Linked DNA regions of Kluyveromyces lactis. The protein of the gene in region 1 interacts with the protein of each later gene in a pairwise test. Links are inferred from orthologs where the notes say so. Each region holds a gene or a part of one and is shown on either strand. Other genes may lie near its edges.

What was found.
Region 2: the proteins of BEM3 (region 1) and KSS1 interact in a protein complementation assay, tested with the Saccharomyces cerevisiae proteins (2 studies listed by BioGRID, with this or other methods). The link is inferred for Kluyveromyces lactis from reciprocal best matches to the Saccharomyces cerevisiae genes BEM3 and KSS1.

What each region holds. Positions count from the first base shown.
Region 1 is NC_006042.1:69,373-73,460, reverse strand, and holds the start of BEM3 (GTPase-activating protein BEM3), read right to left. Parts: upstream 2,926-4,088; coding exon 1-2,925. Other genes in the region: KLLA0_F00792g (glyoxylate reductase), read right to left, coding at 3,675-4,088. UniProt on the Saccharomyces cerevisiae protein: GTPase-activating protein (GAP) for CDC42 and less efficiently for RHO1. Negative regulator of the pheromone-response pathway through the STE20 protein kinase.
Region 2 is NC_006037.1:217,114-220,259, reverse strand, and holds KSS1 (mitogen-activated serine/threonine-protein kinase KSS1), read right to left. Parts: upstream 1,669-3,146; coding exon 580-1,668; downstream 1-579. Other genes in the region: LUG1 (Lug1p), read right to left, coding at 1-114; KLLA0_A02475g (FAD-dependent oxidoreductase), read left to right, coding at 2,573-3,146. UniProt on the Saccharomyces cerevisiae protein: Together with closely related FUS3, KSS1 is the final kinase in the signal transduction cascade regulating activation/repression of the mating and filamentation pathways, induced by pheromone and nitrogen/carbon limitation, respectively.

The sequences.
Region 1 (4,088 bases):
AAACATCAATGAATAATTTTCCATTTCAAATCTCTTGTTTGATACCAATTCTCTGAACTGCAATGCAGTTTCAGTTGGCTTTCCTGAATTTCTTTCAGCAATCACCCTACACTCTTCGTACATGTCATCACCGAATATTAGATGAGGCAACCTTCTGAAATATAATTTTAAAAGTCCCGCAACCGTATTGACATCTAGATAGGGACCATTCTTCAAACTGCCCTCATGTGAAGCGTTGTATTCGCATAAATTTACATCATATTCTTTATCAAATTGTTCTTGGAGGGTTTTTATCAAAGCACTTGATCCACTTAATCTAAATATACCTTCTTCATTTATGGCTCTGTTCTTATACAAATATTCCAAACATCTGTAAACAACGGTTGGTATCTCGTGAGTGTTTTGGTATACTCTAGAACTCAAGCTTAGGCAGTGTTTGATGTCGGATCCAAATACAACATTGGAAATTGCCTCATCATGTAGGTTCATGCCATGGAGAGCACTAGCAAAAGACCTTTCAGCAGATGTTTCGTCCGATTCTTTAGTAATATCTAAGGAAGAAGTTGAAAGCTGAGGTTGATTTTTCTTGAATGGGAAAAAGGACCTCATTCTATTCCTTTTGGTTTCCCTATCCATTTCAGTTGTTGCAGGTTCGACTTGTTGAGATTTACCAAGCATTTCGAGGTTAACCATTGGTCCAATCGCAGCACTGCTGCTTGTATCTACCGATGCATCGCTGATACTTCCTTGATCTTGGGCAGAAGAAAGAGTATCTGCTTTGATATTTGCAACGGAGTTGCTGCAAACTTTTATAAGAGCGCTGATCCATTCTTCTCGTTGTTTGGCGGTTTCAGCGCCAAAATAATGCCTGGATGTGCTAGAAAGACCGCTCTTCTTTGGTTCATTCAAAATAAACCCATTTTTAGTGCCGTACTTATCATCAGGTAAATTCGCTTGTAATTCAATTGTACTACTTACCAACTTGATGCTCTCCACTAGATTTTCTTGATCGAATAATAACAAAGTTTGATCCTCAATTACAGCTTGTCGTACTTTCCAAGAATTACCGCTACCCAACGCCTTATTTTTGCGTACCAAAAGTACCCCTTCTTTTACGCTGTCAGTCATTCCAATTGGTACGGAGATTGCGGTATCTGTACTAATAAATTGTGCAAGTTTTAGAGACATCACTGGTGATAGGTTACTAAGTTCAAAGAGTGCTAATAAATAATCTGTTAATAACTCCCTTCTCAAATCGACTTTAACAGGAACAGTAGTCTGAAATAGTTGCTTTTTAGGTAGTTCCGGGAGATGATATTGCTCCATGAGCCTTATTTTCAACATATGGTCAAGCTCGTATAACTGGTCCAGAGATTTCGCAAACTTGAACATCTCTTTAGATGATTTCTTATCAATGACACTGCAGAGTATACACTTGCTTGCATCCTCAGGATTACTGTACAAAGTGCTAGAAGCTTCGACAGCTATTGTTGAAAAGTCTTCTGGTTGTACAAATAGAGGTATATCAGATATGATGTTGGGTGAGTGTAAAACACTGTCGGATTGCGGTACTTCTCCATTATAAGGAGAACCCATGTCAATTGATGAAGTGTGGTGATTTGGTGGTTGGATACGAGAAAGTGAGGAGACAGATTTGGGTGAAAAAGATTTATGGATTGAGGTGCTTGAAGAAATCGCTGAGACGTTATCTTGTGAGACAATTTTCAGTAAGTCATGAGTAGAAATGTCAGTTTTCTGCGGAAAGGAAAGCCCAGAAGGTGTTAAATTATTTGCTGCGTTTTGAATCATAACAGGAGAAGCTAGTACTTTTGAATCGGCCCTAGGAAGCGGCGGATCGAATACAGGTGGTCTTACTGCAGCTGCAGATTCCTTTTCGGGGGGTCCTTTGATTTGGCTATCATCGTCCCCAAAGGTCTTATTGATCAAGTCAGTAAATTTATTCAAATTCTGCTTGGATGAAGGAGAGAACTCCATAATTGTCTCATCCTCTTTGATGATTCTTTGGGCTGCTGGAGACATTTGTATAAAGCTCCCTGTGATATCATCGCCAGACGTGGAAGCGGTATCATCAACGAAATCTTTATCTACATCTGAAAACTGGTCTTTTAATGGAGAATGAAGTTCATTGTTAATCAAGTGTGTGACACGATTTGCTCGCTGGGGAGATAAAGCTCCATTTGGTAAAGTTGCTGGTGACTTGGGTCTTTTCAAATGGGGTTTATTGTTGATATTCGGTGAATTGGAATTTATCGATATTCGAGATGTGGTATAAGTCACGGAAGTAGCTGGACTTCCTAGAATATTATTTGGTATCCCTGTCGTTGCTAAACTATCTTTTCCCGCATCTTGGGGATCCTTTTTGGTACTAGCAGTTGCCGGCGTCGACTCGTACGCATGATCATTTTTCAATGCTTTTTCGAACTGAGTGTTTGTCTTTAATTCTTCCTGGAAATTTTGGTTATTTAATTGGAAGGTGGCAGGGGACCTAGGCAGCTTTAGATCGTAGACGTTGACCTGACTCTGTTCAGAAGTGTCCTTCATATGTCTTATTCTATCTGCTGATCTTGGTGGTAACGAAAATGTGGGATCTTTCGGGGTTTCTACTTCTAATCGCTGTTGTTCATAATTTACTACAGGTACAGCATTCTCTTTGAGTTTAGATATCAGTTCCTTTAACAGTTTGATTTCCTTTTCGTATTCTTCGACTTTAAGCCTCAATTTCACGTTCTCTTTAAAACATTCGTCGTAACTAGGTCCTGTTTCGCGATCTTTCGTAAACCTCGAGTCACCTTTTTCTATGTAATCTAAATTTCTGTCTTTCTCCTGAATATGATTCTCATATTGCTCCAAAAGCTTTAAAGTCGATGATGTAGTTTCTTTAAGGGAGTCATTAAATTGCTCCATCTTCAATGATACAAAGACCTGACGATGAGGATTCAATGCGATAGAGTCAGAGAAAGAGCTGTTTCTGCCCACCGTATTGTCCTGATGGTCTAAATTGTGAAAAGATTGGGTATACTCTTAAAGATAAAACGATATCCTCAAGCTCTTCATATATTGTACCCCAAACTTTACCAGCAAAATCTAAAATTGAAGAATATATCACTCCGTAGACCTCAGATACTGATACTAGGTACTGTTTGATAAATAGGGTTCAAGTTATCACGACGCTATTTGAATGATAAACACGTTACGATATTAAAGTAGCTTTTATGAAAAATATTCTTTGATACGCGATATTCAATTTTTCACGGTTTCTAAAATTTAATGTCCTTGACATAAAAGGGAAGCCGAAGGGAAGACGGCTTGTAACGCGTTTAGTGACTTCTGTCAGAGATGGATATATTACGAGTTGGCGGTAATAATGAGTTGGATCTTTTGTAGATGTTATAATCGACCAGCCAACAGTCTCTGTTCTTAGAAAGAACGCCTGCTGGGAGCAGTTAATTAATGAATGTTGATCCCCGCCTTGGATTATGTAATGCAGTATATATTCGGATTTATTATTATTTAACGAGTAGGCCTTCAAAACTCAAAGAGTGGTTGATATCAAGGTGGTTATGCAGTATCAATACACTTTTCATCTCATTTTAGTAATATTTCCATCATTGTTAGCCAACATTTCCAGCGCCAGTTTGAAGATATTCAGAACATTAGTTAACTGGGTATTTTGTGCCAGTTCCTTTCAAGAAGAATCCTTCAATATTCTCTAACGTGGCAGCAGTCTGCCTTTGGAGTATTTCTATGACTGTGGAGCCAATATGTGGAAGTAAGGTAATATCCCATCTTTCGAAGAATCTTGAATCCACAACGTCCGATTCATTTTTGTAGACGTCAAGGCCAGCTGACATGACCTTCCCACTATCCAATGCATCTAATAAATCATCTTCGTTAATACAAGATCCACGACCAACGTTGACGATACGCACACCGTCTTTACATTTTTCCAATGTAGTCTTATCAATAATATCTTCTGTGTCTGGAGTTCCAGGTAATGCTAGTACTATAAGATCAGCGTCTCTCCAGAACGCTTCATCATCCATGGATGGTATATAATTAGCCTTATA
Region 2 (3,146 bases), on another chromosome or scaffold:
ATATTTCTCACTAGTAGCTGAGTGATCATTAGACATAAGATCCTTGAACTGGTATGATAAGATTTCATAGACTATCTCTGAAGGTAACCGCATCGTCGATGTTTCACTGATCATATTGAACGAATTATGATATGCGAGCCCCGAATAACACGTTTTATACACTTCACCAATCCTTAAAGCTATTTGCACCTGTTTTGGTGCTCTTGATGATTTCTTTAAGATCCACTTTGGTTTTCATTTTTTCTTCTATTGATGCGGGTCTTTTGTTCAAGTTCTTGTTCATTCTAATTATATCGCTACTTTATTTTTCATTTCAGGGCATAAAGTACACTTAAGGTTCATAAGGGATCAAAGAGTATGAAAAACGTGATGTGGTTATTCGTAGCTTTACTTAGTTATGTAATTAACTATATGATTGTCTAATATGAGTATGAGAATTCTTGTATTACTTTTCCTCAATTTGACAGACTAGGCGTCCTAATGAGAAGTACCCATGAAACGTAAAATCCTTGAGTCTCAGTACATTCATTCAAAGACTATGCGGATAGTTTTTTTTTAGTTCATAGAATATCGAACATATCAATTTAGAGGCTTCATAACTTCACCATAAAGCATCTTTTTCAACAGTTCCAGTGGAATATCGTCTTCCTCGTTTTTATCGCGGGCCTCGTTGTCAATTTTCCAAAAATTGTCTTCAAGGTTTAGTTGGGGATAATCTGGCTCGTCATCTGGATCATGATATGTTGCCAAATATGGATGTTCCAACGCTTCAACTGCACTGATCCTCTTGTCTGGGTTGAAAGTTAGCATCTTGGACAATAAATCGATAGCAAGAGGGTTAACTTCTTTATTTAACACATTAGCCCAGGGTATACCTTTCTTCATGGGTAGTTGAGATATGTATTCTTTTGCCCTTTTACTCTTGATTTGTTCAAAGTCTTCCAAAGTTGGAGACCCTAAAACTTCTAAGATGATCCAGAGTTGATGGTGGTAATCTTTACCTGGGAAAAGCGGCTTACCCATGATCATTTCTGCTAGTATACATCCACATGACCAGATATCCATTGCAGTTGTGTATTCTTGGAAGGACAACATGATTTCTGGAGCCCTATACCATCTGGTAGCTACATATTCTGTCATGAAACCCACCATATTCTCTCTTGATTGATCACTCGATGCCAGGCAACGAGCCAACCCAAAATCACACACTTTGAGATCACAATTGCTATTCAGTAACAAATTACTTGGTTTCAAATCCCTATGGATTACTTGTGCCGAATGTAGCGATTTTAAAGCCCTTAGTATTTGATAAACGAAATATTGGATATGATCCTCTGATAAATTTTGTTGGTTGATAATCTTCTGCAAATCCGTTTCCATCAACTCTTGTACAAGATAAACTGCTTCAAATTTATGCCATGACGTCGGACGTACTATATCCAAGACCGATATGATATTTTCATGCGAATGAAAGAATTTCAACAGTTTCAACTCCCGTAACGTCCTGGTAACAAACATCGATCTGCTAAACGGCTGTATCTTTTTAATTGCAACTTTCGTGTTTGTTGGCTTATGTATCGCAGAGCAAACTGTACCATATGCTCCCTCACCAACCAGATCTACTAGTTGATAATGGGATGGGATATCATACGTGATTGTTCGTGGCATCTCTATGCTGTTAGATCTCCGGTTTGCTTGTTATAATGATCTCTGCTATTCCACTATTATAGATTTAGTTTCCCCCCACTAAGGATTAAATATTATATATACCTATAGCGTCCAATTGCAAAACTCTGGATGGGAATCCTTTATCGTCATTCCCGAGCGTTGACTCGGCGCCTTAAGTATCCCATTGAGTTGACACAATGCGCGACGTTCCATGTCGTCCAGATAAAGAATGTTTCGTCCTTGAATCTTTGTTTCATGTTGGTGAACATTCCATCCAATCTCGAAACCTGAAAAAATGTTACCCCGGTGTCAGTCATGTGACTTATAATACACATCACTGCTCGGACATACCGCAATGCGCTTCACCGTTCAAGAAAGTGCAGTTTCACACATGTTCTGTCGGTTGTTACCACTGCGACTGAGCATAAATTGGATCCATGCGGGTAAATCTGCGGAACTCATTTCCCGATAGGTGAACTGAAAGTCATAGTTAAAGTTAACAGAGAATTGATAAGGGAATAGCTAAGACCGCAACGTGGATTTACAGATTTTTCGAGTTACCTTAAATGGTAGTTCCTCGAGAGAAGGCAACATGACTTGACTGTAAATGAGCTGGAAGTGATATCTAAGATAGGTGGGGTCGAGGCAGCGCGTTTGTCAGAATAGCATGGTTTGTCATCGGTAACATACATAAGTGAAGGGACATGGGATTGAGATTCTCTTTCCTCAGTAAAGTTTTCCAACCTAGTTTCAGTTTGAAGTAGGAAACAGCCAATTGGCAGATCACTTACTTGAGCATTCCCAGTTTCTATAGTAGAGTAAAACATCTACTGAATATATCTATAGCGGTGAAAGTCACAATTTCATCAGTAAGCTTTATTTGAGCCTGAAATTATCAAATGACATGTCTAACAAATCTCAGCCATTGATCACTGTTGTTGGTGCAGGTATTTCTGGTTTGTACGTCACGTACTGTTTGACCGAATTGTACGGCGTTCCGGGTGAAAATATCTGCATTGTGGCAGATTACTTACCAGGTGACCAGTCACCCACTGGTTATACTAGTCCATGGGCAGGTGGTGTTTGGTCTTGTATTTCACCTGATGATAAAAACGTCATGTGGTATGATAGGTTCACGTATGAGAATTTACCTACTTTAAGTGAAAAATTACTGGATTTCTACAAGGGTAAAGATGCAGAGTGGTTAGGATTAGCTCGCAGACCATCCACGGAATTATGGGATTACCAGCCTCCCAAGGCCAAGATTAATTCCTTGAGCCAATATTTGGAAGAGTATAAGGTCCTATCGAAGGAAGAACTTGCAAAATTCAAACCTGAGGGAGCCCAATTTGGTATCGCTTTCAACTCATGGAACTTCAATTGTCCAGTATTCATAGTAAACTTGGCTAACTTCTTGAAACAGAAGCATAATGTGCGTTTCTTGAAGCAAAAGTTGACTCATATCGCACAAGCAAAAT